Arabidopsis thaliana: one gene and its partners. The protein of the gene in region 1 interacts with the protein of each later gene in a pairwise test. Each region holds a gene or a part of one and is shown on either strand. Other genes may lie near its edges.

Region 1 (11,230 bases):
TCGAACTCAAGATGATCTCCGATGGCTTTACATTCAAGATACCTATTATTCCCCTCAGGAGAAGTCGCTTCCGTGGCACCATTGTCATAGATATCTGGCAGCTCAGGTGGTATGGCGCAGCGGATGAGAGCCCAATTCAATCCTTCAAAGAAAGGATGTCTTTTGATCTCTGCAGCTCCTTTTTCTGACCCAAGACGACTCTCTGGATCCTTCACCAGCAGCCTTCTGATCAACTCCTTTGCCTGGAAGCTCACGAGCGGGCTATCAGGAAACTTGAGGTTCTGGTATACAACATTGGACAGTGTCTCCTCATTGTCATAACCTTTGAAAGGTGTCTTCCCGTACAAAAGCTCATAGAGAAGGACCCCAAATGTCCACCAGTCTACTGCAGCACCATGTCCTTCTCCTTTAATGATCTCCGGGGCCAAGTACTCGTGCGTTCCCACAAACGAATTTGATCTTGCTTCGGTTGGTTCAGCCACAAGCTGAGGCAATGATCTGAACTGCTGTGTCAAAAGATCAGGCCTTTTCGGTTTTCTTGGTTTTTGGTTTCTTGCTTGGGTTGATAAGAGCCTAGGGCTGAAACATGGGACCCGACATGATGGTTCAATACATAGAGGTTGTATGCAATTCGATGTGCTGTATGGACCGGACATCCTTGCGGGATCTTTCTCGGGTGGAGAAGTTGATCTGAGAAGAGTCGGGTTCACCGCACATCTGAGTGAGAGGTCAAAATCTGTAAGCATGATGTGACCATCTTCTCGGACTAGAATGTTCTCTGGTTTCAAATCTCGGTATATAACACCAAGCATGTGTAAGTACTCCAGCGCAAGGAGGATTTCTGCTACATAGAACCTGTCAACAATATCATCAATTTTACTGTATATTATTACCACTGAATTTTCTAACCAACAAAGACTTTGTGAGCATTACAAATTCATAACAACAATGTGAAATGTGATCTTACCTAGTTGCGGGTTCGGAGAAACACCTGCTGAGCTGTTTCTGCCTTAGGACATGAAGATCACCACCAGGACAATACTCCATCACCAGACACGATAAATTATCTGAAGTAAATTGCGCATACAAGGTAGGCAGAAAAGGATGGTCCAACATTTTAAGGATTGCCCGTTCTGCCTGTGCTCTTGGTGTCTTTTTCCTTCGGGCCAAGAACTCGTTGTCCATGACCTTGATGGCAAACAGGCAGTTTGTACCAACCAGCTCAGCAAGATAGACAGTTCCAATATCTCCACAACCAAGCTTTTTCAAAAGGTTGAAATGTCGCAGTCCTAAAGAGCCATACTGCAACTTTACATGCTTAACTGCTTCCCATCTCACATCCATAGACATGTGAGGTTTATTGCCACAGCTAAACCTGCTCAGATTGCTCTCCTCACTCATGCTTGTGCTGCTGCTATAGTCCCCTAGGCTATTCTTTGAGCTCAACGAGAAATCAAATTTTTCACTGGAAGTTGGATTCGCTCTTATCTGTTCATCTGCATCACCTTTTCCACTATAATTGCTTGGAGAGACTTCTTGTTTCATGACAATGACAGCTTCACCGCTATCACTAACCTCACAAGAATCCGAGGAACCCTTGCTGGCCTCTTTATTACACTTCACAATGCGAATGAGACGCGGGCTTGCGAGTGATTCTTGATCTGCTTCTATACTGACATTTTTATCAGTAGTATGACTAGTATTCGAGGGCGGGTGGTTTTCAGTGCTGGTGCTCTTTACCGCACAGTGGCACTTCTGGCACAGAAGTTGACTTGCACTAGGCTCTAAGGAAGTATCGACTTCCTCAACCATTTTTGTAGCAGAATTTACAACGATTTTTAGCTTCTTTTTAAGCAATATCTTCTTCTTCGGCCGCGGTTTGGGACGTGGGATATTTCTTGTCACCTTGCTTACCAGTTTGCTCTTCTCTGTTCCTGAACCAGGAAAGTTATCCAACTTTCCTTTTAACCCTGAGCTCAAAGCTGTTGGCTCACTTTTCACTCTAGCTGATGAGACGATGCTCTTGTCTAGCTCTTCAGTATCAACTTTGCTGCCAGAACAAGAAGGCAGCGAGGTAACATGTTTGTCGATTTCCACTAATTGATCTTCAATGACCATATGAGGAGGAGATGTATGATTTTCATCTATCTCTATCTCATAATCTCCACTGCCAGAACTGAGACAAGATCCAGATTTGTTGGATTTACACAGTGATACAGTCTCCAGCATTCCATATCCCACTGTCTTTATTCCCGACCCATTTCCAAGTACGTGGAGAAGGATTTCAGCCTGAGATGGTTCAGAAATGAAGTTAGATGGCTCTGTCTCAAGGACATCATACCGCTGAGGTACACTCTGGGAGGAGCTGGGTATATCGACTACCGGCGTCAAAGATATTTCAACCAAGCTTTTACCCTTGTCCACAGGAAGCCCAGGCTTGCCAGCAGATTCATTCAAAACTTGTCTGTAAAGAGTCTTTATCCTGTCTGCTTCAGAAACCCTCGGAGATGCAGCTGCAGATTTTGATAAACGTTTCTGGGAAGCCATTTCTGATGCCTTGGAGATGCAAAGATCTCTCAGAGCCTGCTTCAGAGATATTGAATCAGAGGGACCAACTCTTGGTGATCGAGGGGTTCCCATGGGAAAGGGCTTTTTCATAGCGCCTTTATTTGAAGGGCTTGTGCTCCTGCTCGTACCAGCACTTGCGCTCGTCTCAAGATGATGGAAAGAAGAGCCCATCACTCTTCTAGGTGATGGTTTTATAGTTATAGACTGGAAAAGCTGATCAATGTCATACTCCATAGAACCTTGGTACCCTGACTTCAATGCAGGACGCTGCTCCATATCTTTACTTGATCCCAAAGGTGACATACAATATCTGCTAGAATGTTTGGCTAACCTTACCGCATCCTTCTCCTCAACAATTTCACAAGAACCTGCAAAGGATTCCATCTTAATGACTTACTTTACAACAGTGGACAGCTCCTCATTACAAGACTTGGTTTTTGAAAGACCGAGAGACTCATCTTCCTTGGTTCATCCTAATAATTCCAGTACAACACCCTGCAACAATCATAAGAAGAGACCTTATGGCTTATTTTAAATAACTCACAGAGCAATAATCCAAAGGAAGAGCAGTGTCTATTGAGTAAAGGGAAGGAGAAATGATGAACAAAGTAAGGAAAGGGAAACAACAAGAGATTTAAAAAGGAAATGAACAGTGAAAGTCATTATAGTTATAGACTCAAATGATGAACCCTACACAAGTACAGATAGAGATTAGCTACTTTTAGACTTTAATTAACAAAAAGAAGACATTTTTTTGGTAGGGAAACCAAAACTTTTAATAGAAAGAAATTCATCAAAACCACAAGCCAAGTTCAACTCACTTCACCTAATGAAAATGTAATCAAAACCCATTAAATGTGAAATCAAAGCAAAAAAAAAAAGCAGCCTCGAGATCCCAGATCTCATGAAGCTAACATAAACAGAATGCTAAGAACACTAGCTTAAGTAAAGATTCAACTTTTAATGGAAGATGTCAAAATCTTCAAATCCTTCTGAAGGAAGAGTCCCCAAATCTCATCAAAAGAAACAAATATCGAAAAATGCAGAAGCAAGTACAGATACAAAGACGTACCTAATAACATTAGGAGGCAAAATAAGCTTCTAGAGAGTGATTACAGAGCTCAAGAAGACTCCCAAAAGAAACCTAAAGCCTAAAGGCCTGAGCTTGAAGAGAATCTCTCACAGAGATAGAGTAAAAAAAAAAAATGGAAAAATTTTCTTTAAATTTGTCGGGGATTTTGGTGTTTAGTGTTTCGGTGTGATGATAAAGTTGAAATGTGAAAGTGTGGGACCCAAAGCATATGTTTTGGCTGAAAATTACGTCCAAATTCGTCGTTTCTTTTTTTATTTTCTTTTCGTCTTCATTACATTTCACATCAATCTCTTCTCCGATAATTGTTGTGTAATAAATATTTTGAGTTGATCTATGGTCTTCGTTGAGTGTGTAGTACAAAAATAATATCTAACACAAGGTGAAATTAGTGGCATGTGGCAAAATGCGAATCTTGGCTTTAAGTGCTTGTGTCTTTTTCTCGAAAGAGACAGACGCACAATAAGAAAAGAATGTTAGTGGGCCTGAACAATCGTTATCGAAGCCCAACCCAAAAGGAAGAGTCGAAACAAACACAACACTAAAAAAAGGAGAATCTGCTATGGTTAGCTCTAACTGTTACTTACCTCAGTTACCTGGCTCTAGAACAAGAACGGATCGTGGATACATCATGTTTTTTCTTATCAATATGACACAACCAAAAAAAAATGAGATCATTCCAAAAGCAGAGATTTTTCTTCATTGAATCAAGGAGAAACTCCTAAGTTTGCAAGCTTTGCGGCGAAAGTTAGTTTCTTGACACACAATCGCTGCTCATCAACAAACAATGCCTTCCATTCGTTGATGAGCTCTTTTCTTCTTTCAACTCCAACGTTTTCCAAATTCTGAAGCAGCAATTTTTGTTGATATCTACCTAAACTTTGAAAAAATGTATCCTCCTTAAATATCTCCTGGAGAACACCCAACTCAACCACATCATCTTCTTCACTCTTGTCTTTCACACCATTTTTACCTAAACCTTGAAACGATATCCCAGAATCAAGTGTGTCCTCCATAACACCTACCTCATCCACACCATCTTCTTCGCTACTCATCTCTTCCTCACCATTATCAATCTCGATACTCACCCGCTCTTGCTCCTCACAAGGCACATCCTTATTCTCTTGCTCCTCACAAGGTACATCCTTATCGCCTTTCTCCTCACAAAGCACATCCGTATTCTCTTGCTCCTCACAATCCTTACTCAAAACAAGAAACCAAGATCAATAAATCATGTTTTGAGGTGGTAATAAGAAGATCGGTAGAAACAGAACAAACACACTCACCATGGTTTGGTCCAATTTCTCTTTCTCACCATTATCAATCTCTATACTCACCCGCTCTTGCTCCACACAAGGCACATCCTCACTCTCTTGCTCCACACAAGGAACATCCTTATTCAAAACAAGAAAACAAGATCATTAATTCATTGCACATCATTAGTAACACAATTTTTTACATCATGTTTTAAGATGGTAACAAGGAGATTGGTAGAAAAAACAGAACTAACACACTCACCTTGGCTTGGTCCAATTTCTCTCTCACACCATTATCAATCTCGATATTCGCTCGCTCTTGCTCCTCACAAGGCACATCCCTATCGTCTTGCTCCTCACAAGGCACATCATTAGTCTCTGGCTCACCAGAAGGAACATCCTTATGCAAATCAAGAAAACAAGATCATTAATTCATTGCACATTAGTAGTCTAAGAGATTGTTGAAAAACAGAACAAAGACACTCACCTTAGCTTGGTCTATATTCTCATTAGAAACATACTCTGATTCATTCTTGTCCCATATGATCAATGACAATTTGAAGATTTCATCATCATCAGTATTAGTAAAAGAAAGTTGTTCCCCATGGTTAGATCTCCCCTGATTGTATGTAAACTTTCTCTTCATGTTCTTGACCTTATTGATGAGCTGAATCTTCGAAAACTTTGCTTCTACACAATCTTTGATATAACGGTACAAGGCATCCCAGTCAGATCTATAGCTCAATTTCGTTTCATTCTCATAGTCCACAATACCCTTTTACACACACACACAAAATAGAGTAAAAAAAGTTAGAAGAGGATAAAGAAGAATATAGAGAAGCTGCAAAGAATTTACTAACTAACCCCGAGAATGACAAGCTCATCGTTTTTAGACCAGTTCATCTTTGAAGCAGAGGAAGACAAGCTCAATGGTGTTGTCCTCGTCGTTGTTGTCCTCGTCGTTGTTGTCCTTAGTTGCTTTCTCCTACTGAGCATCGCCTCAACTTCAACCTCACGGTTCCTCGTGAGTGTGTCATCCGAGTTGGTGTCGATGGAATCAGCAACTCTCTTCGTACCAACCATTGATCGGTGATGAAAGATCAAAACTTTGTCAAGTTATATAAAACTCTCAGAAAGCTCAAAACCCTATTGTCAAACAGAGTCTCTCGAGTCTCTCTATTTAAAAACCCAGAGACGATACGAAGCAAAAGCACGATCAATCCTTTGGCGGCTATTGATATTCTCCAGGCGTAGGAACTAGGAAGTCCGAGTGTCGAAAACGTAAATGACTAAAATACCCTTTTCCATTTTTAAACATTGGGCTTGTGCAAGATGGTTTCTTCTTCCTTCTTCAGGGTTCAAGATGCACAATGGATAAGTCTGAGGTCTCATTTACAATCGAGGACACTCATATGGCTCAAGAGCTGAAAAGTTGTTGCCTTTTGCTCTGTCAGAGTCTTTATTTAGTTGGCTATAAAGACCCTTTTGACAACAGGATATGCCTCTCTTATTAACCTCATAGTTTTTGGAAACCTTTATATAGGCTACAAAAATAGTATAATAATTACAATGCTAAGATATATTGATCATTTTTATTATACATCACACAAGGAGTGTGGACCTATACAAAAAGGTGGGAGGATCAGAGAGAGCCTTGGTTAAATAGGTTATAGCCTGAAATGAGGGAACTGAAAGCAAAGGCAAGGAAGGCCAGGAAGGACATAGCAATCGAGGCACTTGCCATCTCTGTGAACTCGTCTTTTCCCCAGTTTGAAACCCAATCATCAACGCGAGTGACTGCTGCTGTTGAGGCAGACATAAGCAGATATGCAAGTACCTGATTGCACAAACAAAACAAACCTTTCTTATTCATAATTCCATCTGTTTTTACACATGCTTTTGAAATGTTTTGCAGGGGACGAAAGAGATTTCAATTATGTAATGAAGGGAGTAGTTTGGTCAAACAAGTATAACAGTCACTTTCACCATGTTTTCCGACCTATAAGATAAATCCCTTTCCACATATGCTATAAGCTAAAGCATAAAGAAAAAGAGTAACAATATTGGACTTTAACCACAAAGTGTTGTTCTTTGATTCACAGGAGACAGGGTAAATACCAGCAGATGGTGCAAGTCAAAGTATCAGGAATTATCTATAGCCAAGTTTTTCTCATCACCTAGATGCAACCACGTAGATCATACTTCATACAAGAACGAAAGTAACAAAGGAATACCATCGAGAGTACAGCATAAGTGTTAATGACTTGCCTGATCTATAATGAACTCAAACAGAGGTCGAAGGTGGTGGCTGATCAAATGCTTCTCTTTGACAAGATGGTACGCTAAGTCACATGCTTGAAAACTAGAATATACAAAAGCAACCACGTTCACAGACAGGCAAAACCTGTCACAGATATCAGAAGATGACACATAGATAAATCAGTTTAGTCTCAAAATCAAAAATCAAATCATACTAAACTGACTTCAAATGTTTGACCAAAACAACAAAATGGAAACTGCAAATGAATTCTTACGATCCAACAAATCAAAATCAATGTCAAAAGGAACAAACTTTACTTCTTTTAAGGACTTCACCAAGTTCAACCAAAACATAGACTTGGACCACGCAAGTGTTAAAGACAATTCACATGTACTAAAACTAAAGTAATCCAAATTTCTTATCAAAAAACCAACACTAGTGATACTGATAAAACCCTAAACCCTAAAATAAACCCTGAACCTAAATTCAAGAAACATCACTATCTGCGAAGAAATAAGCACAAACACAACAAATAATTACCTGTACTCCTTGTAACGATCGAAAGAATCACCACTCCAACCTTTAGTTTTATCAGCAGCCATAATTGAGAAAGATATCAAAGCCAACACAACCTCACTCAACCGAAACCCTAAAGCTGAAAACTTTACCACCTCTTCTCTCCTAGACCTTCTCAAAATAGCCGAAACAGCTCCAGATCGTTGGCCACTACTTCTCCCAGAACCAACTCTCGCACTCTTTCTCGTCGGAACCACTTCTTTCACAGAGCGATTGTGATTATGAACCACCACAATCGGAGATGGAGTTTCCTCAACCTTTCCAGGATTCTTGTTTCTTCTACTCTCGGGTTTACTTTTCGCATCTTCCTTCTCCGATTCACTGGAATGATCAAGAGAATGTGGCGGCGATGGAGAAGAAGAGAAGTGAGTAGTGGAGTTATCGAAAGCTACTATAGCCATTGAAGTATCTGACGGAGGTGGAGATTTCTCCGTGGAAACTGAAGAAGGTGACATCGACGGCATCGTCTTTGCTGGAGATCTCATCGGAAATATCAAACCTTTGTAACGAAATTTAAGGAATTTGACAACGCAAAATCGAATTTAGGAATAAGCGTTGAATTGAAGCGACAAAGAACAAAAGTGAAGTCTTTGATGAGAATCAAACACAGAAAGAAGACTTTGCAAGATTCTTTGTCTACTTCTCCCTGTATTCTTGGTTCTTTCGTATAATGCCCCACTATTTTAGTTTTGACAATTCGCACCTAAAACTTTGATTTGTTCTTTGTGGCCCTTGGTTTTGACTCTAGACTAGAGTCTCTAGCTAATAATTATTATTTAAGTGGGTATTGAAATAATCTTTGTATGCATTGTTATGAAGACAATTGATAATCATCATATATCATTAGAATGGAGAATTATTGCATATTGATCTAGTTGATTTAAAACTGTGAATCAGGAAGAAGAAGAGAAAAAACAGAACGCCATCCTTGATCACTGATATGAACATTGTCCCAAAAGAAGAATGATTTTGGATCATCGCAAAGAGTGTACAACTTTTTACCACTCAAGCTTCTATCTCCACAAAAGGTACCTCGTTTTGTTGCACAACATGCCTTAAACGGATCCGGAAATGTCGAAACTCCTGCCCAAATTTAAACATTTATATTATATATCCCATCTATTTAGGTATATGTATTTCTGTTTAATCTATCAAAGACGTGATCGGTTATGTTTGGTCATATACAGTGTTGGTATATATCTTACGTACCTGAAACTCCTTTGTTCTTGAATATGGTCACAAAGGCATTGTAGAGATCTAACGTCATGAAACTTTTATCATTATTGTTAATCTCCTTATCGTTTAGTTTTATCAGTCCTTTGCGGAGAAGACTGTTGTGGAGGTACGTCGAGGTGTCGTTGGTGTCGCAGCCTTTAGGAGTGACAAGCTTCGGCAAACATTTCTGCGGTGGTGATAAAGCCACTAACACCTTTCTTACTCCTAAATCCTTAATTCGCTTCACATCCAACAAAATCTGTTTCACTACTTTCCTTGTGAGTGCTGAACGACCCTGCCAGATTTTATATTTTCAAAAGAAATCGAAAATGTTAACTTATATAATATATGGATCAAAAATGGTCAACCAGTAATCAATTTTGATCAACCCTAGTGGGAAAAGAAAAGGTATATTGTACCTCTTCAGAACCATTACGTCTGTCGTAAGTAAGGTAGTCATTGCCGATGATGCTAAAGAAAGCGACGGAAGAGTTGAGATCGGCCGGTGAATAAACGTTTCTCATGAGGAGTTGTTCAAAGGAATCAATCTGCACACTAGCGGTAGGAACTAATTTGAACATTGTCTCAAACGCGCCGGCTCCACCATATGCGAAATTCATTCCTCTTTTCACAGCTAGTCTCGGTCGTCCGTATTTCCCCCATTTGTATGTGATCGGCGTTCTAACTCCAATATACTTCGCTACATGTTACAATATAAGTCAAACTATAAGATTTATTGCATAATATATGTTTTCTATATATAGGGTATAATTACTGTTGGCAACCGATTTACGTTAAACTAGAGATATCTTGCATTTTGAGAGAGTGAAAACGTTAAACTAAATACTTATATGGTCAACATTTAAAACAAATTATAATGAACAAAATTTATTGACTTGCGTTTCATTATATAAGAGATGCAATGCAAATGTACAGCTAAGACATATCTAATCTAAGAGTTTTTCACTGAGCTTTGCAATCTGTTTACAATATTATAAATCTTACAGACTCAGATATTGTGACAGATTACCAAACAAAACATTATAGTTCAAACGTACCGAGATAATCAGTGGAAACACGACCATCACTAAACCGCCCGGTAGGTATTCCCGGGAAAGTGATTCCATTGGGAAACCTCCACGAGGGAACGATCAGGAAAGGTGTGTTTCCAGTGTCTGCATACGAGTCTCCGAACACAAACAACTTTGTAGGTTTGAAACCAAAAAAGCCATCTTCTTGTGTTTGCTCGCTAGATGGAGAAATTGAGCTGTTTACCTTTATGTAGTCTAGCACGTATATCAAAAGGAAAAAGAAATTAATCGATGAAACTGATTTAATACAAATTAATTGCTGTAATTTGATATACGATACATACATTAAACAGATCAAGAAGAAGAAAATGAAAGTTATAGACTAATAATACCTGATAGAAGAATCAGACACGAGAAAAGAAACCAAGGAGTGAGTTTAGTAATGTTCATGATGGTTGAAATTGTTGTCTTTTTTTTTTTTGCATGGAAAATATATAGGTGAGGTTTAAGGTGTGTGTCTCTTAAATTTTAATTATGGCGAACGGTTAATAATTTAGCGGTTTCCATTGAATTAATTAATTGAGTTTGTTTCTTTAATTAATTAATACTCCTATTTCGTTTCTCTGGCTTCATGTTTTAGATATTTTTCCTTCTTTTACATTTTTTTAATAATTTCTTAGCAGTTTAATTTTGTTGAAGATTTCTTTTCTATATATACACAAATCTTTAACATTGGTAAATGAAATATATGCAATATGATCTAGATATTTATATTATTTTTAAAACATTTGTTCATAATTTCTAATTTTCTTTCACCTTAATATGAACAAAAAAGGTTTATTTATTTGACCAGAAAAAGAAAACATTGTTGTCAAAAAAAAAAATTGAACTCTACTACTCTAGTTCATATTTGGTTTGACTCTTCTTCATCCAATAATGGTCATATAAAATATGAAAGATATGTTTTGATAAGATTAATATGAAATTTATTTGAAGTATTTTCTTGTTTTGGAAATTATACAAAAATTCTAAATATCACCTAATACACACAGAAATATATTATTACATTTGACCACGGAAATAAAACAAACACTAGTTTTTTGTTGGTTTGAGTCTTCATCATCAAGTGGTCATATAAAGATAAATATATTTTCGACGTTTTATATTACTTTTGATTATTGTGAAAACTTCTAAATTTCATAATGTCAACAGAAAGAGAATAATTATTTGAAGA
Region 2 (10,831 bases), on another chromosome or scaffold:
TAACCTTTAGCGCAAATTCAAGGAAGAAAAGTCCTTACACTTAAGAGCCAGTATAGGAGAAGCAAAGGAAAACAAACACCTGAATGTGAAAATATAAAACAGACCTGAATCTGTCGATTTTTAACCATGGCTTTGCTCGTTCTCTCACGACAAAGCCTAGCATATTCTTCAATGGTTTCACCATATGGCTTCATATCGAATTTGTGATCAACCTTTCCTTCAGCAGCTGCACAACCTAGAGTAGCTTGCCAAGTATGAGAATAAAAGCAAACGAAGAAACAAAAATCTAATGTATTCAATCAGAACAAAGTAAAATCCAAACCTTGATTAACATCGGAAAAGCCCCCCATCGGAACAAAGTCTGTGAACATGTTCAAAGCGTAGCACTTTGGCATGTTCCCATACTCAGCACCAACCATATACATTTTGAACTGATTAATACCAAAACAAAGGTAATAAGTTGCAAGAAGAATAATCCACCCCTAAGCTAGGTTTTGAAAATCAACCACATGGGTAGTGAAATTGGCATGAAAGATTCAAACTTTTTCAAGCTCCCGACACAAGTAATGTAATTTCAACACTCAATTTCATAAAAACGGACTAATCAATCAACAATCTAGGGTTTGAGCTAAAACTCAAAATTTAAGAACCAAATTACCTCGGGGGGAGAATCGTCCCGTAGAGGATCAACTTCGCGAACAATCTTTGCCATGTCGGGAGGAGAATCCGAGGAAGCAAAAGAAGAAGACGACGAAGCTGCTATCTTGTGCCATGCCTTGTCTACAACTACAGGACACTTCATCAACCAAATCGATCTATCACTTTTCTCTATATCGAGATTATGAATATCTTCCATCGTTACTCTCTCTCTTCTCCAAAGTCAATCTTCTTTCTCTTGTCGCAGTTTCTTTACTTCTCTTGAGCTCTGTCTGATCTTCCGATTTCGTTTTGACTTAAAACCTAAGTCTTCTTACTTTGAAGCGGAGGTGAAAAAAAAGGAATCCCATCTCATATGACCCGACCCGTTACTATATACGTGGACCGACTTGGGCGTTAAAACAAATAGGCCAAGGCCCATATTATTGTAAGAATCCAGTTTCTTTAATGGGCCGTTTGTTATTCGCAAAAACATATATTTCTTGTTGCCACATTTTGAATTGTTTTATTTTCTAAAGTATAGATGACATGATTAATAGGGGTATATGTATGTCCATACTGCATACATAAACACATGTAGAGCATGCATGGATCATGGATGTATGGTGCATGTATAAATGTATTAAATTTAAATGGATCACATACATATTGTTTGGACTTTTGGACCACTATTGTGCTGATAAAGAGTAAAGAGAACACCAAGGTTGTTGTTGACAAAAAAGGAAACAAAATACCGAGGATGGAAATGGATTGGCGATTAGGACAACGACAATGAATTAATTCTTAGAAAGAACTTAACTAAATCCATGAGAAAACCCTAACCACTAGTTTCACTCAGTTGCTTCAATGTACAAAGGGGGACCAATCTCTCATCTTTTCTCCTTTTGGTTATAGCTGTAACTGTAGTTGTAGCTAGGTTTATGGCCGTTGTATTTAGATTTTATGTTTGTTGGATATAGTTTTAACTTTTAGCTCTACACTTCTTATAAATAAAAGATTTACTCAGTTAGCTTCAGTGTACGTTGTTGTGTATGTATATCTTAATTATCAGTACGTAACACATTATCTAGATTTGATTTTTATTTTTTCAATACAGAGCATCAAATAGTAACATCATATATTAATAACTATTTTCAGAGGTATACTTCGAAAAATGTTCGAACTAGCCATGAATCTTTTGAATAAAAATCATCTCAAATGGACAGAGAAAGATTTACGTGGAGCCAAATCATCTCAGGGAAAAACTGAAGTTGGGTTGTGATTTGTGAAAAACTGTTATTTATCCCCATTTACGAATTCCGTTCACATGGTCACTATCTAATGACGCGTTGGAAGATTTAATGATTTTTGTAAAGGAAATTGAGGTAAAAGAAAAGAAACTGTCATATCAATCATAATCGAGTTAGGTATAAGTATAACAGATGTTGAGGAAAATCTTTGTTCGGAATTAGTCTTTCACTTTGACCATAGACTTTACAATTTCACAAATGATGTGTCTTGGACGATCTTCATGCTTCTCAACAATTTAATTTCCCTTTCTCCAGCATATTTAATTAACAATTTACTTGCTAACTATCTCAGAAAAAACTATTATTTCAAACTTAACCTACCGTGTATTTTAATGGCAATTAATGACAATGCCAAACATTTGACCTGTGAGGATGACTGAGTACTTACCATTGGAACCACATGCACGTCATCGGTACGTAATAAAGAAGAAAAAAAATATCAAATATATAATTCACATTAGTTATAATAAGTTATGGCTAGAGAGAAGTTCTATATAGTTCCAAAAAAAACCCATATATAGGTTTAATACCATGAGGCTGTAGGGTTTTTGCGAAACAAGAAGTTAGATAGATTAAGTAAAATATCAGAGGAGATATGATCATGAGTTTTTGGATCAACTACATTTAATTTTTATAATAATTTTGATCGAGAGAGACTGAAGAAGAGATCACATGCCGTGAGTCAGACACTCTACAGTTTTTGAGAAACTTCCATCTATCTCCTCTGTCATTTATACTTGTCCTAAATCAAGCAATCTATAACAGTACTGTTAATAGTACTAGCTAATCATTATTATTGTTAACAGTATCAGTTCACACATAGATAAAACAAATTATTATATCATCTCATTAGAAAAACGAAATCAATTTTAGTTTCATCATATGTCTTAATCAGTCATTTGTATATATATATATACTGCATCGACCAGTTTTTATTCTGTAAGACAGAATTAGTAAATGGGGATTAGCTACAGACGACTGATAGTCACATCCATGATCCATGCAAGTAATAATTAAATAGCTAAAAATATGATAATTCTGCAGGGAAGTAGTTTGATATAAATACTTTATATTACCATCCGTTTACATTCATCTACGCCAACATTTCACATGTTACGTATTTACTCACAATCTGACGTTCTCCACATAACTAACGTTAACCTCCTATATTATTGTAGACAGGGGTTGAATCTAGATGGAATGACACGATATTATCTAAGTAAAAACCTGTCCATGAGACTAGAGGTCTTTTTCAAAATATTTATGTAGATTTTTGGATTATTCAACTATGACTCAAACCAGAGAAAGATATAAACAAGCTAAATTTAAGTGCATAAATATAATTTAAAGCCGCCCAGGACCAGTTTTTAACTAAACTTTTTCCATCTTTTCTCAGTTGTTGGGTATATATATATTACAATTGAGAACTAATTTTAACATCTTTCACTCTGGAGAAATTCAATTGGGTAATATAAAAATTGCTTGAAGTTTACTAAGTATATGTTTTTTTTCAAATCTTTGATCAGTGGAACACGAAACCTAGTTAAGTCATGTTTAGATCCGGCAAGCAAACGGATAAACGGGGAAAAAGGTAGCTTGGAGCTCAACACCAACCAGAAAGCTATTTCAATATCAAACCAAAAGATTTTTATTATTCTTTCTTTTCTAAAATAAGTATTTTTGATTTGACCTTGAAAAGTACTATATATAATTATATATGTCGTAAATCAATAAAAAGAGGGTTATATTATATATTAATTAATATCATAAGACTATAACTAAACCACATTTAAATTGCAACACAGAGATCGATCCTAATGAACAAAAATAAAGCAAAAGATTAATCTTTGAAACATGAACACTATCTTCTTTTCTTAAAAGTACGTACAATATGCATGTTAATCACCACTAAGTAACAACCTAGGTAAGGGTGTTTTTTCCAAATTGCACGAAGTTTCAAAAATAGATAAACGAAAACAAAAACAAAAACAAAAGAAATCCTCTTATTATTATAACGTTTAAAGATTAACAATAATCAATAACTGATATCAGAATCTGATCAAGACCTCGGAGGTGTGAAGAATGGCGTACCCGCGATGAAGGAGTTGAGTTGAGCTGGGTAAAGCGAAGAAGGATCAAGCATTAATCCATTATTATTGTTACCGGTGACAGTCTTAGTGGCGGTCTCCTCCACATTGGTGGTGGTTGCAGTGGAAGCAAGTAGGTTAAGGTGATGATTATCTTGATGTTCTGGTCCTTGGTCATAGAGAATGCCTTTGAAGATATGGCCTCCAATGTTCACAGCCGTTTGGTAAGCATATGCTTGATCATCTTCATCCTCTTCTATTGAGCTCACTCTAACGCACCGGAATATCGCCGGTGAGTTAACCTCCGGTGGTAAGTGTTGACTCACCTCCAACCCTAATTTTTTTATTAATGATTATAAGATCACCAAAATATAAACATGAGATTTGTTTTTAGCCCCTTTTAGTATAACATGTTGTTGATTATAAAGCGTAGCTCCCATTTCATATCTACAAAAACGAATCTTTATTGCATTGTTTTTACATGAAATCGATCTTGGTTAGATCCTTTTATGTCGTCAGGTTTACTAAGGAACAGTAACTTGTATAAATAAAGCAGCAATATCCGGCGGACATCCTCATTCACACGCAAATGATGTTGTACTTCTCCACAAACATTCATAATTAAAACTTTGACACTTTTTCATGAAAATTTAATCAATCTTGAAAGCTAATTCAATATCATCAAGAATTTTACCTGAATTAGAATTAGCATTCACCACACGGGTATTAGCAAGAGCCGATCCACCACCACCACTATGGTCTTTATCATCATTATTATCACCACCACTAGCTTCTCGAAGGCGTTTGGCGTTTTGCGTTTCACGGCTGGAGGCTGAGTGGTGCTGCAAGGAAGCGAGTTGGGCTAAACGCTCACGACGTTTAGCAGCAGGAACCCAAGTGCTCTTAACGTGAGTTTGACAATGAAAGCCTCGGCTTTTACAACAAGTTCTACATCTCATATGAGGACAATCTTTCTTAGCTTGATTTCCACAATCTTGACAATTCATACCTCCTTGTCTCGTCACCGTGAACCCTCCCGGCTCATGATCGGAGACTACGTTGAAGTATAAACTCCGGCTACGGTTATTGTTGTTGTTGCTGCTGCTTCCGCTAGGAACCATTCCAAATGAGTAGAAGTTTGCAGGAGCTGAGGCATGTTGTTGCTGTTGTTGTTGTTGTTGATGTTCTTGTTGTTGGAAGTATTGCGGAGGCCAAATCTCGAAACCCTTGTTGTTATTATAGATCTCGTCTTTGTAAAGATAAAGATAATTGCTCTTGTCTTGATGATGATGATCCTTGTCTACTTGATGATGATCTTGCTTGTTGTTGTTGCTGTTGTTGTCTCTCCCTCCTAGATAGAAGAACCCTGCCATTTCTTTCCCCAGTGGTAATCAACATCACACACCCAACACACCACAAAGAGAAATCAAAGAAAAGGGTAAATCTTGATTTGATTTCCTTTTCTTTGCTATAAAGATTGACGGTAGATGATGAGGAAGCTTAAGAAACTGCAAACGCCGCCATGGAATTAGTCTTTCTTCATCACTTAAGATAACTCAAGTTTGATCTCTGAAAGTGGAAGTTTGCTGGATTTACTCGGTGGATTAAGAGAGAGAGAGAGAGAAAAAAAGTTTTTAAGACATAGAGAGTCCCATGAAGATCTTTTGCTTTGGGCACTTCACTACAGTTATCTTCCAGTTTGAGTGAATCCCCATCACATAAATATCACTCAAACTATTGTTGAAAAAAAAAGAAAAAAAAAGGAATATGGATAAATAGATAGGTGACATTTTTTAAGTAATTTTGTTAGAGTAATCATTCCATTCCATTAATATGTATATATGCTTATTCTCTACATTTTTCATAGGTATTTTCATAATCCCTTATTACAATCTAATTAATACATGTAAGATGATAAAAATTAAATGACGCGTTGTTTTCTTTACTATGTAGGAAGTCATTTTTTTGTCCACAGATGCAAATTATATATCTAATCGATGGTTTTAGGATTCAAAACAATATGCATGAAGGAGTATAAAATATATTACGCCGAACCAACGTATCGAATTTAATAATGACTCGTTTTCGTTTTAGTAGATTTTAAAAATTTAAGATGTGTTAATTAAAAGAAATTTCTTAGCGAAAATGTTGTTTCTTTTAAAACTAAACTAGAAAATAGAAAATAGCTCGCTTTTTAAGCTCATAGTGTTAATTTTTATCAATGGTGAATAGAGTGCCACGTGTTAGAACAGGGAGTTTTTCTCCACTCGTCCCTCCCCCGCAAAACCCTCCCCACCGTTTATCTTTTTACTTCGGTTTATCTATTTTGTGATGAAATTATATATGGGAAGTTTGAGAAAACAAAAAAGGCAAAGATAAAAGTCTGAAATAAAGAAAAAGGAAAAAAAAAATGAAATCTGAGAAAAAATGAAAAGGATAGTCTAACGTCACATTCCTTTGACATTTTATCGTCACGGACGGTCTCATCGTGAGGTTTACCGCTTAATCACGGCGATTAGACTTTCAATGACATAACTTTTTCAACGACGCCTTCGTGCGTTAATTTTTCCTTTTTTGATAATTTTGTTATTTATTCGTCTAATCAGAAATACGTGGTATTAACATTGAATCGACATGAAGAGGGCGATCGTAGAAACTTAAACACTTTTTGAATATGAACTATAAGAAAACTATGTGGTGTGTGAAAAAAAAACAAAAAAAAAACTATGTGGTTTGTTTTAAGGGATTTTTGCTGGACAGCGATCCCTAGTCTAGTTCTAGGTCACGAGTCATTATTATTAGCCGACGAAGGGATGTGATCGTCTTCCATCTTTACCCAAACTAATACATGAATATAATGTATTATTTCTGTATTCAGGTTTTTAGCTTTTTTTTTTTTTTTTTTTTTTTTTTTTTTTTAAAGGTTTTTAGCTTATTCCAATCGAAGTAGAAAACTTAGCTTTCACGTTAATACAGTACTATATAGTTTCAAATTTTGGAAAAATATATAACTAAACGGGATATGAGGGTTATTTAGCTTATTTTGCTCGTTTTACAAATTAAAACTATAAATATGTACACACACATAATTGCATAAACATGAGAATAGTTAAGAGTACATAAAAACCGTTAGTGGTTTATCTTAAACTAGCTACTATTAATTATACCAACTAATTAAATATTTTATACTATCACGTAATTGGTCGTACATAAATCTGCGAATTTAAAATTTAAATCACTAAAGGATTTACTTATTCAGTCATACCTTGTACCCTCATTAGAGCCGAAGCAGGCAGACCCACTCTAGTTTCTTTGATCACGTGGAATCGCGGGAATTAGCGGCGCAATTTGCATTTTATAATCATAATTAGGCGCATTTGGTATTTAATTTTAAAGTTTATATCTCTGATGGTTCGCCTTTTCTTTATCCTAAATGTTGTGCATGTACAGTATATAAGTATATGGTCTATTCAAAGTTTGAAAAATATTTAAAGATATTTCATATTTGTAATCGACGACCAACCCACATACCTTAAACTCTTAATAACACTCGCATTACTTCAAAACTGATTACCAATTTTCATATCCTAATTTTTGCCATCGCATGATCTCAAATTTAACTTGTGAATTATATTTATTTCAAAATTTACGAGTCTATTCCACCTTGTATTGCCAATCGTTGACGACTTCTCATGCATATTCATAATAAGCAGGTCACGAGAGTAAGATTTTACTTCTCCAATTCTCATAGCTAGATTTGATCAAATCTTCGGTATCGACGAGCCAATTAATACACAACCAATTTCTCAAGATAAAGTCTCTTACCTATATTACTAGCTAATCCTTGAAGATGAGATGTGCGATTGACAAAAAAAAAAAAAAAATGAGTTATGCATGTTGTAAGGATTTGCGTATTTAATTGTTTTTGGTGAGCAAATGCTTCTTTATGAACCAAGCAAGTACTTTAAAATCTTGGCTGTGAAGTATTTTTGTCGCTTTATAAAAAAGGCATACTTATTGGATTTAGAGAAACAAACGTACAAAATGAAGGCAATGTGAGTTTTCTTGGAATAGTTCTTAGAGATTTTTAACTCTCTCAAATCACTCAAATGTGAATTTAAATTTAAAGTATTCAATTTGTTTCAAAGTCTTTACATGTTTTTGTGTTCACTTTGCCAATCACCTATATCATCAACCATTAATTTGGGTTCGCTCCATAAAATATGGTTATCAAAAACGATATGCATCGGAAACAATACGTAAAAATATCAAAAAGAAAACAATTTATAGTTTTCAGACAATATTAGATGTCAAAGAAAAATCATTATTGAAATGCGTTTGTAGGACAAAAAATAAAAACAAAAACAAAAATCTGTTCAATCAAAAAAAGGAAAAAAAGAAAAAAAAAAAAAAGAGAGAGAGAGAAAAGAAAGCCCAATCCCATCCCAAACATCTGTGTCTAGAAAAAAGGAGAATTTTCTTAACATAATACGACTTAAATTTGTTAAGCTTTAGTAAACAACAATTATATATGCGTGTATCTATAGAAAGGTTGATCGTACGTATTAGTTACCCACCCAAAAAATGGACTTGATCTTATTTAAGGGCCCGAGGCATGAGTCTTTTGTATTTTAGAATTTCTTGTTGACTAAATCACTATTTTGTCTTTATTTGTAAATGTAATTACTTAACACTCCTAACTTTGATGAATCGGGATCTTCATGATTAAACTAGTTGGCTAATGTCCCTTTTGTCTTTGTTCTTTACTTTAGTTTTCCTTTGGCTAACATTATTAAGTTTTTTTTCCTTTTCATTTTTTGACATTTTGACGGGGTTAATAGCTACCACTGATTTACTTTTTGGCGGTTGATATTTCTCTAAGGAGACAGGCATAGCTAATTCACGTTTGATATAGATGCATGTTTCCCAATTATATCTTATTATCTTAATTTATGTTATTTTAACTCAATTTACAAACAACAAAAAATGCTATTGTAGTCATGCGTAGGCAATGAAGTTATCCAACATGTTCAAATGATTAACATTGTCATCCAACACTCTTATTTTTTTTCTAAAAACACCACAAACACTATCATTCCATTTTAAAGGATACATCTAATGTTTCTTTTTTAATTTATAAAAATGTGTATATTTTTCCGAGAGTTAGCTTCAATTCACAGTAAAGCCAATAAAGGTTTAGCTAATGCCGAAGCAATGCCCAGCATTATTCAGCCATAGATCACAATGACGAAATACTATTTAATATCAGATTGTGGGCATTGGTGTTCATTGGCATGGTTATCAGAGGTGATCTATTTTTTTTTCCTTTTTTAGCCGAGGTGTTCTCGGTTGTTATAATTATGATTCTTTCTATTACTAGATTTTGTCACCTCCCACAAGTCAGACAGAGAGTGAGGAGCAAAGGTCATCGTAGGGGAAAAATCAAGAATAAGGATTAGCTCCAATAGTCCAATTATTATTTAGTTGTTGTCTTTCACTCTCGAGCCTTGTGCTCACCTTTCTTCTCGCTGCATCTCCTCTCTCTCTCTCTCCTATATAGTACTAGTATCTTTTTATATGGTAGTCAATCATTCTCCTCACTAACAGTATTTTCCCGACAATCTTCTCAATGATTATATCTATTATATATACGCTGTGTTTAAAATTCTTTTAAGTTCCAGGCTTTTTAACTTATGTTTGGATTCAATACCAATAAAATTTGTCGAAAACGATTCAAGCAGACAAAATTTGTAACAATTCATTTTTAGTGTGAGGGTAATAAAAATCAACCGATGCAAAGTCACTGTGATCAAAATTTGAGGATTTATACTTAAACCTAAATACAAGTGATTGATAAAATGTTCGTTTAAAGTTGTTTGACCAAAAGAAAAAAATGTTCTTTTTAAACTTAGAGACGATATTTAACTCAAACCAAATGTATGCTTTTTATTTACAATTTTGTTGTTTTCTTATAAAAATATTGTAATTTCACAAATCATTGTCATGTTTTTTAAGGTCTGAAAATTAACATGGTTGTGCCACGTCAACACGTTTTTAGTAATCAAAAATACTTCTTAAAGAAGAAATAATATATAGAGGGGATTACTAAAAATTAGGAAAAATGATAAATTCCCAATTATGCCTTTGTGACCATCATTTTGCTTAAAGCTAAGTTATAACTATGCTCTTTCCGCGAGAAACGGGTTTTGTCTTGTTGAAGAAAAAGGAAGGAAGTGACGCAAAGTGTCTTCCTAAAGCTAAGATATTCGATTTACTGCGTTGAGTTGAGCATAAACTTTATCCAATATAATATAAACGCATTATACAATATACACGCGATCAATACATTGGACATACTAATTTATGGGATTTACAATGGTTGTACTATCCTCCGACTACGAACACGTTACATATTGAAATCGCGTGCATTCACCAACTTTATTTGATTTTCCCCATCGTATATGTGTATGAAACAATAAAAAAAACAAAAAAAACAAAAAAAACATAAGGTGATGTGATTCAGTGATTGTAACTGTGGTGGAATACATGACAAGTTAGGTATAATAAGGAAGTCTAATTCTGAAACCCTAGGCGACGAACACTGCATGCCAATAGTAGAAACAGTACGTACGATCACGAGATCAAACTTATACGTACTTTACTTTCTTAGGATCCCTCCACTTGTAGGCACTAGCCCCTTGCCACGTGGTCCCCCTCCATTAGCTTTATGGGCCTCATAAAGCCCGTGGGGTCCGAACTCACATCCATGCACATGCTTCACATTAAGCTCTAGCTAAG
Region 3 (10,846 bases), on another chromosome or scaffold:
ATAGGGTTTAGGGTTCTCTCACCTAATTGTTCCTACTTCCTACCAAGTAATTCATACGACAATTGTTTGGTTTATCCCACATCTATCCATTTTCTTCTAACAAAAATAGTTTTTAGATGATATTTTAAGTTTGTTTTCGTTCAGTTTAAGGGGAAAAAATTTGAGTGATGGTTTTGGTTACAATGAGATGAAATTGGTTAGGGTTTATGGCTGATGAACTTTAATTATATGTACCAAGTTTTTTTTTTTAATTATAATTTGGTTTGGGTTCTTAAGATTCATCTAGGAAGACTAGGATAAACGAATTTTGCTTCATAAGTATGACATGTAGATTGTGGTCATATAGCAAGTTGCAAAAAAACGCAATTTGTGTGTAGTGATTTTTATTTTATTTTTAGGGCATCTATACATCAATAAATACAATTTGTCCTTAATTTGTTTTCTTTCTTTTCTTAAATCATAAAATAGAGAGACATGGCCATTAAGTAATAACTGCTCAAGCGACATAGATACAATGATCAGAACTTCATCAACATCAATGATCTCTCATTATCAAAGATCCAGCATTCAAAATCAGGTTCTGATAATTCCCATCTAATCATATTTGTATAGATAGATATTGCCTTTCTTAGTGTTTTTTTTGTCCTTTAATCTAATATAAAGTTAAAATTGGCAGGAGCAAAGGTCGAATGATCAAGCAAAGAGGTGTGGAAATCTTAGTTGTGAAAATCCAAGTTTGGAGTTTACATTAGGCAGACCAGATTGGCACGAGAAATGACTTTCTTGATCAATTTGGATTTTTATATATATTGGATTTTTTATTTTTTTGTTTCATCTTTCTCTCTCTATATATACTCAGAAACATGTATGCAGTATATATCTTTGTGACGATGAAATTCTCAGCGTAAAAGAAGGAGAACACGTAGAGAGCCAAGCTGCTCAAGAGTGTTGATTTTTGCACAGAGAGAGAGAATATCACTACCAAAATGAAGAAATTTGGAGGTTCCTCTTCTCAAGTTCCATTGATGATTTGATTATAAAGTGGATGATCAATGTATGAGTTTTTGTTTTTGGGTTTTCGGGTTTTTAGTTTTTTGAGGTTGATCTGGTGGTGTGATCATAAGTTATATAATTGGAAGATCATCAAAATGTGGTGAAAGTTTGGATATTTTTTTGAAAGCCTCTTGGTTGGCTAGAGGGTTTCAAGTTTTTTTTTTTTTTTTTGCAGCCGAAATGTAGAGAGAGGGAGAGATCTGAGTTGAGATTTCATATGGATACTGATCATTATTCTTTCTTAAGTACATAAAACACACAATGTATGCATACATAGATCCAAAAATCCGTAGACATTGATCACAAAATGTTTCAAGTTGCATTTTGAAATATTCTTATCATTCTTTCTCTGCTTCTTCACAACAAACTCCATAGATCATATTTATATCAAGCTTCCATTAACAACCAAAAGTCGGGGTTTATTTACAAACGCGGTAAGGACGGATTCTCAGTTGGTTGATTCGATGTTTACCTCCCGGTCTTGGTGTTGATGACGACTGATAGTGTTACCTGAAATGGCTGATCCCACCACTGAAACCGATTGCTTAGCCAAGCGTAGGCTTCCTCTTGTTCCCAACCACACCGCATAGAAAAACCCAATCCAACCTGATCCAATACCAAATTCATTTCATTCTTCAATACATATAGGAAGTAACTTGGAGTGTCACTCATTACAAGATTCCAAAACAGAATCAGAGCAGAGTATATAACCAACCTGAAGCTATTAAGACAGAAACGACAGCAGAAACTGTAGCGGTAGAGATGACGAATGCAGCAACGGATAAGGCTCCAATGTAAACACCAGTCAAGCAGAGAAAGAAGAGTGCCAAGAAGCCACCAGCAACAGCAAGTGAAATCAGAAGAGAGATTATGATAGCATTGGCTGTTGCAGCTACAAAGAAGAGTGTGAATACAACCAAAGCCATTGTTGTCAAAAGAACTATTGTTCCCATCTGCAACAACAATAACAAGATAATAACTAATCAACATATAGTCTCAGACACCCACGAAATTTGGCTCAAATGGGTTCAATAAAGCACTAAACTTTTCAATAAAGTACCAAACTTTTCATCAATGGTAAAGAGTTACAGAACCAAGACGATTTAGGGCACAATACGTTAATTTACTTGAGGAAATCGAATTGAAGATAATGGAAGGCTAGATTGAAAATGAAATTCAGTCTCTAATTAGGTTCAATCATTCTACTTACAGTGATGACAAGCAGAGCACGAAGCGAGCTGCCTCTACGAGTCCAGAGAAGAATCTCGCGTCCTGTTCTTTCAGAAGCTTCTCGAAGCTTAGGCCCATTTTCAGCGACGGAGTTTCTTACACGTTCAAGAAACGAAGACGCATCACCGGTTTTCGAATCTGGAAACAGAATCGAACCGATCGTGAGACAAATCAAGGAATAGAGACTCTTCAAATCCTCATCATCTTCCTTCTCCACAGAGTCCGGTTTACGATAGCCATTCTTTGTTCCTCCGTTGACAATTTCGCCGACATCATCGCCACCGACAACGTCGGCAAAGGTTTTATTCTCCGTCTCGTCGTGATCTTGCGCCATTCTTGGAAATTAGAAACTAACCCAACAGTTGTTTCGATCGGATTTAGGAAGTAATAAGAGTAAGGAACAAAAGTTGAGATTTTTTATTAGTAATAGATAATGATTGCGGACAAAACAGCTGTTTAGTTTTATGTTAAAGGAGAAATCAGGGACATGTGTAGCACCGACGTGGCTTTAAACCCCCGTTAACCGGAGGAGTAGATAGATAGATACAACGAGCGTGTGTATTCAACGCGTTACACATGCGAGTGGTTAATTCTTTTTTCTTCTTCTTTTCATTATGGTTTTATTATTGGGCTTGTTAGACGTTTTTTGAAGGCCCGTTTAAGACCAAACTGTTTTTTTTTTTAATGCACAAACTGTTGCCAATAGAAAATTACAACAAAAGGCGAATCAGATTAGATCAGATATCATCTCTGTACATAAATGCTTACAAGATAAAGCAAAACAAATGTTACATATTGTTTCAAGATAGACAAAACACAGGGTTTTCAGTGCTGTGCATCAACAATGGTGTCTTTAGCAGAGGTTGTTTCAGGGAGTGATGTGGGTTTTGCTTCCACAGAAGAAGAGACTAGGAGATTCCTGAGCTCTGTGGTGATTGCAGTCTCTTGATGCAGAGATGATGAAGGAGAAGGAGATGCAGTATTGTTGTTGTAAGTGAAGACTCGCATCGGGTGATCAAATTTACAGCTTGGACCAAACTTGCAGATCCCATACCGAGAATAGAACACGCACAGTGGTTCTCCCTGTTTCAAACCAGCAACAAGAATTTACCAAACCACATAATGAGACTATAAAGGAAAGAATCTGAAGTCTTTTATTAGCTTACCGGGCGTAAAGGAAGGCCAACCGAGCTTAAGACACAATCAGGAGGAGGGGTTTGCCTGTCTCTAGGATGATGAAATTTGCAGACTGTTCCAAATTTGCAATCTCCTGTCTTCATGTAGAATTGGCATTCAGGTTGGCCTGGTCTTTCCGGGAATACATTCTCTCTAGGTAATGCATAGAACCCGAGCGGAACAGAATTTCCCGAATGAAACCCGGATGAGAAGAGACCTCCTTGAGATCCTGAAGCGAAACCAGAAGGATCTTGCAAACGAGGAGGGTTTGCAACAAAAGATGTTCTCGACCAAGAATAAGACGGTTGACCAGTTAGAGATTGAAGAGCAGAGTAAACCGGAGAGCCACGAACAGAAACCATCAAGTTGGTTGATTGAGTCTGAGGGTGATTGAATTTACAAGTTCCCCCAAATTTACATTGTCCAATTCTCAAAAAGTAAGAGCAATCATCTTCGTTCTGCAAACAGAACTCATGAGAGAGGCAAAATTTTACAAAGCAGTGGTGAGATTAGAAAGTTGAAATGTATACATACCGGACGTAGAGGATAGCTTAAGACATTAACTGATACACTTCCATCAATACCAGCTTTGTTCCTAGGATGATGAAACTTGCAAGTCACTCCGAATTTGCAGGTCCCTGTCTTCAGATAAAACTGCACAGACACAACAACAAAAATAGAAGCTTTGAGACAATGTGATAACTAGAAGACATTACTATGATAGTAATTCGAAACAGAGCTACCTCACATTCAGGCTGACCAATTCTTTCAGGGTATTCTCCTTTAATCCTTGCAGTTGCTATAACCTAGAAATTGGATACGAGACTATTCATCAGCTTGTAATCACACACACACACAGACCCTCAAAGCTACAAACTTTGAGTCAACAAGATACAGAGGAAAGAACAAACACAGAAACAGAGTCAGTACCAGTTTCCGGTCGTGAGGATGATTGAATCGGCAAGTTGAACCAAACCTACAAAGTCCAGTCCTTATATAATAAGCACAATCTGGCTCTCCGTGACGTTCCGGATAAGACCCATCAACACCCATTGTATCATCTGATCCCAAGTTCATTTGCCACATTGCATCTAAAATTCACAAACCCAACCAAAACCCCACAACAAAAATTCAAGCTGAGGTTTTTAAGATTGAATCAGAACATCAGAGAGGGAATAAAGGATGGTACTTTGGTTAAGCAATGGGGAAAGAAAAGTGCTTTCCCGAGAAATGGAATCAAAATCCATGGAGATGATGAAGAACAATGGCTGTGTCGGTGATTATTAAGCATTAAGAACACACCATAATTCTCTCACTCTAAGAGATTTTCCGATGGGAAGTCCCATCGTTTCTCTTGCTCCCAGGAATCGTCTTCCTCCGATTGTGGAGGGGTTAGAGGAAATGGCAATGCAGGAAGACATTAGAGAATTAGAGATCACGTCTAGAGAGAGAAAGCAGAGAGAGATTGGGAAGAAAGTGTTGCGTTCTCTTCTCTCCTCCACACAAAAGAAAGAAAAAAAACTAAAGAGATTCGGTAAGAAAAACGAATTCGAAAAGACTAAATTACCCCTTTTATCTTCATATTGATTCGGTTGAGGAGAAAGAATAATTTATTTCATAAATCCTGATTTGGTTAGTATGTATGATCATGAATCAAATAATAACAAGATTTTATTTGATCTCTAACCTGAATTTCGTTTCATTTATTCTTTTTTTTTTTTTGTTAACAAAAAAAGGGCTTATAATATTTAGTGTACGTATTAAAACAATTTTAGATCCGAACATGATGTATTTTCATTTATAGAGTTTTTATCTTTTCTTGATACGTATATGTGAACAAAATACTAAATTATGCATACTACGAAAATAAAGAGAGCTTAAGAAAGTATAAAATTAAGCATAAACTAGGTTAATTCATTCAGTTAATGGTTTTCATATCTCGAATATACTTCAAAATCTCCTTTAGGAGGAAAGTGTAAAAGAGATAACAAAAAAAAAAACTTGTGAAAGATGAACAAAGGGTAATATTGATGATATAATCGAATTTATTAGTTTAATCAATGAATAAACTCCAGAGCTGCGTAGTAGGCGACGAGCACAGGTAGAGAGACCAACATCCCAAATATCACCCTACATTTATCAAAATTTTAATTTAATTTCATATTACCATTTTCTTCTTAAATAGACTGAATTTTTAAAATTTGGACTTACGCTGTGCTTAGAACATCTGCATGTAATCCATATTCCTTAGCAAAAATGAACGAAGTAATCGATTGTGGCAAAGCAGCCTGTAAATTTCATATAAATATTAATGATATATTAAACTGAAAAATATAAAGTTAGTATCTTAGTGGATGAATGAATGGAAAATGATCTACTTTTTTTTTTATATACAAACTTCAGTAGAATTAGGGTACAAAAGGATAAAGTAGAATTTATGACCTGAATGATGGCTACGCGGAGGACATCACCGTGGAGGCCAAGGACAATAGAGCCGATGGCCATGGCCGCCGGTCCGGCAATAAACTTCAATACCATTCCCATCACAGTCAAGCTTGTTCCACATACTATCAACTTTTCTTGAAGTGCCATGAATATTCCTGCGTATATATGCATGTATTCACTGTTATCTCAATACTGATACGTAATCTTTACGTATAGAAAGATACTTGCATGGACATAAATAAACGTACCCATATTGAACATGGCCGTTCCTGTTCCTGCTTTTGACATTATAAGAATCGAACCCTCTAATATGCCCGGCAGCTCCAGATGCCATCTATATTTCCAATTAATTTCCATCAATTATTAGACTTAAGTCTTTATTTGTTAGCCAAGAGTATACAAAACACTAATCAAAACCCTAAACCCAAAATTCACACTAAAACAAATAAAATAGAAATTTGGTCAAAGACTCTAATATTCAGATTAAAATCATGATTAGTTTATTTGCATGTACATGTCACGTTTGCAAATTATGTTACCATGTTAAAAATGTCCTAGTCATTTGTCACATGGAAATATAAACGCAAATGCAAAGAAACAATCGTGACCTATATTTCTGTCAAAATTTTAACTATAGATCATCAGGCGCTACACAGAAAAGTAATAATTTAGATGGTTTAAACGTCAAACTATAGATATTTTTAGGCAATTTTAACGGTTGCCTCGGAGTAAGGGGTGGAATTAATGTAGTCTCCTGAGTCCCTGATCACACATACTAATTAACACTTTGTTAAACATCTTATAGGTACCAATATAAAGTTTAATTAAAGATTCATTTTTACCTGTTAGAAATAAAAGCCCATGCGATCCCAAGGATGCAAGAATAGCAATTTGGATTCGTTGCAAGCTTCAACCAAACGAGGGACATGACCTCAAGGAACGACTTCTCTCCCACAACCACAGTTTCTCTTTTTCCACTTTCGATATTGATGTTGTCTACTTGTACGTCGCTGATATTATTACTACTAAATCCGGCTTTTCTAAACTCTAAGACAAACAACAAGAGTGTGAGCCACACGATGGCTTGAAATACCGAGGATTGAACCACCAGATCAACAGCCTGTTGTCCGTACATTGCCTTAGCCAATGGCACACCAACGACAAGAGAGTTAGTAAGAGTGCATAGAGAGAAACTAGTAATGGACCAACAATAGCTTCCTTTGTTGCTATATTTGGCCCACAACGCTAAGACCGTGACTATGATGACCTTAGAGAGGACATCGGCCGCGATGAACCGGTAATTCATGTTGAACGGGTCGACATGGGCCGTGAACTCAATGGTGAAGAGCGGCAGGGTGAAATAGCAAACGAGACGGTTTATAGCATCACATTGATCACGCGTGAAGATGTGCCACCATTTCACAGAGCCATAGCCTAAGATTAAGGCTACATAGAGTGGAACCATTGCTTCGATTACCTTGTAAACATCTCCACAATTTATCATGGTTTTATCAGAAAAATAGAAATGTTGCAGTAGTAGCAAACGAAAGGAAAGAAAACAAAGCTTCTAAATTCGTTCGTAGATAGTAAATGTGTTACGATAGAGAAACCAACATGTTCATATTTATAGATAAATTTTTAATTGTTTTATTTGTTGTAGAAAAAAGATAGGTAATGAGATATCCATGAGTAATATTCAAACAAAAGTAAAGTTTAGATATAAATTAAACAATAATATTTTTTTCTTCGGAATATGATTACGAATATTTATAAATAATTTGGCTAAATTCCTATAGAATAGATACAATTGAAATTTGAGTCTAAATATTTAGATAAAAAAATTAAAATCAACCTCATATTTTTAGCCATTAGTTTAATTGAGAAACAAGAGAGTTATCGTTATCAATATAATTGACCAGACCGTGCCGTGGCATATGATTCTATTCCAATTGTTTCCTGTAAATAGTGAGTGTAGTGTTTGTGTATGACGTAAACATTTCTTTCAATATTTGACTATATTAATTAATGGTAATGTCGCAGAATAAAGAATGAGGTTGCAGCTTTAGCACCATAACTAGAAGATCGTCTCGACCAATATATGTTTTTGGCTGTCGTAACTCGTCGCCACAACACATGAGACTAACCAAATAATATATTTTCAATAATTTATTCGAAATATTTGCTTAATCGTTTTTTTCTTAATCTTAATATTTATATTTATTAACCACTTTCATAAAATGGGAGCAGAACTATGCTAGTGCATGTAATATAAGTAAAGTGCATGGAATAGTTTGTATATATGCCGAAATGGGTATTTGTGCCCTACGACCTGGCGATAGCAACCAATTTCATAACCGACAAAGAGAGATTTCTTATAAGAAAATGAATTTCACTTACTTATACCTAGTGATGATTTGAATGTTTCAATATATTCATGGTTTAAGAAATAACATGTCATGGGTTTTAGAATATGTTAATATATAGATAGATAGAGAAGTCTACAAATAACTTACTTACTTTTATCTTAAACCATGTTTTACGTTGTTTTTTATGTTTCGTTCGATAAAAAATCATATGGCCATGTCTTTCTTCTTTGTTAAAATATCAAAGAACCATATTATACTACGAGCTAGCGAAAAATCTATCATCGTGAGGATTGAGGAAGCCATTCAAGAACTACAAAAGTTTACAGAAAAATTTGTACCTCGTGCTCTTGTCCTTTCTTGCTAGACAACAAATTTATTATTTGCCTTCTGGACTCTAATATAATCACAACAACACATATTGCTAGGTGCAATATCATCATATTAGCACTTTTTAATTCTATGGTATATTTTTGTTTTGTAACCATATATATTGTCCATTCACAAAGTCTTTTCTATTACACATATTCATGATGAGAAAATTGATTTGATCTAATTACTAGAGAATCATGCAGAGGCATAAAATGATCTGGAAAGCATTTATTTATCATTTGATTTGATAATAACATTTTATGGAAACACCTATCTTTACCAAAGATTTGGAACAAATAGAAAAACATAAGCAAACAAATATATATAGTCGGACTAAAACAAAAACAAAAAGGGGGATTTGACTGATGGAACAAAAGTTAAAATCGGTGGATTAGAAATCTGTGAAAACGTGGAGGATGCTTATTCACTGGTGAAATTGAGGGATCATATATAAATATGAATAATAATGCTAGTAGAATAAGTTCTATTTATCACTTGATGATTACAAATCTATAATATGCTTTCAAATTTCTCTCCTGATGTGTTGATATATATTACAGTCTTTTTAATATCAAAAAGGTTTTTGTCTTCTCTCATTCATTCATTCATCGTTAATACTTTTGTTTTTGTGTGACATATTTTCATTATTCTTCTTGAATTATGTCAGAAATAGCTAGCTAGCACGATTGGAAAGTTTATTCAAAATCCATCTTATTTGTTTTGTACTTTTGACGTCATGAATATTATGTTGATGTTTTTTCCCAAACCACAAAAACAAAACAATCAAAGTTTTTCAGACCAGAAAACACTATATGTTGGGGTTTATACTGTTCTTCCTAAATTAGAGTTCGAATTCAAGAGTAGTGATCATATAACTTTCGTTTTCCTTTCAATCTTTCATAAACGAATCCAAGTACCAAGTTAAATGCATGGTTACGTATTATATACTATATATAAATGTAATCATGTTAATGTTACAAATCAAATCAGAAGAAACAAAGTTATACATAAAGGAGAGGATGTTTTGATTTTGGTCGAAAAGAAGTTCAACGTCAATCATTGAAAGAATGAAGTAAATAGCAGCCAATAGAAAGGGAAACCAAACTACAAACATATCAATATTACATAATTTTTTAAATATAATTAATTATCCATATCCACACACTAATCTTTCATTCAAATTCCATATTAAAAAAAAACACAGAAGAATTATTCTTAAAGGCAAATTTGTTCTTTAGACTTATGAAAAGAGGAAACTCCTCCAAGTGCAGGTGGAATAAATCCTCTGTTTGAAACGACTTCACTACTGTATTATTTCTTAATTTATTTTGTGGCTCACAATAATCTGTTCCTTCATTGCTTCGTCACTCAATATATGCTACAGCACCTACTTGTTGTACTCTTCTGCTTCACATCTCGTGTTTTTATTCTGGAAACATTCGTTTTTCCAGAGAAGAGAAGACGCAAGAACAAGTTTTCAACCATGGAGAATGGAGAATGATTTACTTTTAGCATAAAGTCCTCAAACGTATTAGCCGCATCAACAACACTCTTTGATGTGAACACAAGTCTTAAGTTACATGCAAAGTGTTACTTATTCATTAATTCTAGTATAGTTCTTATACTTTAGAACTTGAAGGGTACACCATAATAATAGCTAAAGAGATCAAGATCGGTGATTATAGTTATCAAATTTCCAAGAATATGTGAACACTTCATAGATTATGTAATGAACTAATGATTACAAAAAAAAAAAAAGTACAAAGGCAAAGCTAGAAACGACTTTTGAATCAGGAAAATCTCTCTGCAGGTTTGTTTGGTCCGGCGGGAAAATTTGATATATAAACCGAACCGGATAACATGAACCACCCGGTTTTTAAATTTTGCTGGTTCTTGACCACGACGAAGTCACTTGCTTAACAGGCTGGTTCTGCTTCGTGGTCTGGTTCTTTAAAGCTGGTCCAAATAATAATAAAATAATTAAAAGATGAAATTCCTTTCTTGCCCCTTTTGTTCTTCTCCTTTCTCCGTCTCTCTCTCTCTCTCTCTCTCTCTCTCTCTCTCTCTCTCTCTCTCTCTCTCTTCGACTTCTTCGTCTTCGTTTCTTCATTTCGAAGCTCTCTCTGTGTGTGATGGCGTGCCCTAGAAACTCCATAACATACAACGCCACGCGCTGCGCGTGCGGTATCGGTCAGCTACTAAACCGG

What was found.
Region 2: the proteins of AT2G36340 (region 1) and SRS5 interact in a two-hybrid assay, tested with the Arabidopsis thaliana proteins (one large-scale study listed by BioGRID).
Region 3: the proteins of AT2G36340 (region 1) and ZFN3 interact in a two-hybrid assay, tested with the Arabidopsis thaliana proteins (one large-scale study listed by BioGRID).

Annotation. Positions count from the first base shown.
Region 1 is NC_003071.7:15,230,625-15,241,854, reverse strand, and holds AT2G36340 (DNA-binding storekeeper protein-related transcriptional regulator), read right to left. Parts: upstream 6,369-11,230; 5' UTR 5,998-6,368; coding exon 5,779-5,997; intron 5,690-5,778; coding exon 5,402-5,689; intron 5,315-5,401; coding exon 5,177-5,314; intron 5,053-5,176; coding exon 4,945-5,052; intron 4,858-4,944; coding exon 4,366-4,857; 3' UTR 3,951-4,365; downstream 1-3,950. Other genes in the region: AT2G36350 (Protein kinase superfamily protein), read right to left, coding at 1-855, 968-2,952; AT2G36330 (Uncharacterized protein family (UPF0497)), read right to left, coding at 6,557-6,751, 7,183-7,318, 7,715-8,235; AT2G36325 (GDSL-like Lipase/Acylhydrolase superfamily protein), read right to left, coding at 8,631-8,833, 8,960-9,260, 9,385-9,665, 10,024-10,251, 10,389-10,446. UniProt on the Arabidopsis thaliana protein: Probable transcription factor. Involved in stress responses. Plays a repressive role in cell expansion by counteracting the positive role of CPR5 in this process, but does not regulate cell proliferation or endoreduplication.
Region 2 is NC_003070.9:28,347,774-28,358,604, forward strand, and holds SRS5 (SHI-related sequence 5), read right to left. Parts: upstream 5,777-10,831; 5' UTR 5,407-5,776; coding exon 4,728-5,406; intron 4,368-4,727; coding exon 4,006-4,367; 3' UTR 3,749-4,005; downstream 1-3,748. Other genes in the region: AT1G75510 (Transcription initiation factor IIF, beta subunit), read right to left, coding at 1-4, 105-235, 323-431, 659-856. UniProt on the Arabidopsis thaliana protein: Transcription activator that binds DNA on 5'-ACTCTAC-3' and promotes auxin homeostasis-regulating gene expression (e.g. YUC genes), as well as genes affecting stamen development, cell expansion and timing of flowering.
Region 3 is NC_003076.8:5,397,297-5,408,142, reverse strand, and holds ZFN3 (zinc finger nuclease 3), read right to left. Parts: upstream 5,075-10,846; 5' UTR 4,707-5,074; coding exon 4,649-4,706; exon of another isoform or gene 4,551-4,648; coding exon 4,390-4,550; intron 4,266-4,389; coding exon 4,203-4,265; intron 4,114-4,202; coding exon 3,994-4,113; intron 3,918-3,993; coding exon 3,450-3,917; coding exon of another isoform or gene 3,441-3,449; exon of another isoform or gene 3,367-3,440; coding exon 3,109-3,366; 3' UTR 2,970-3,108; downstream 1-2,969. Other genes in the region: KAN (Homeodomain-like superfamily protein), read left to right, coding at 469-577, 677-778; AT5G16550 (voltage-dependent L-type calcium channel subunit), read right to left, coding at 1,502-1,659, 1,769-2,006, 2,264-2,617; PIN5 (Auxin efflux carrier family protein), read right to left, coding at 5,517-5,589, 5,671-5,747, 5,902-6,059, 6,153-6,238, 6,747-7,408; AT5G16520 (uncharacterized protein), read left to right, coding at 10,772-10,846.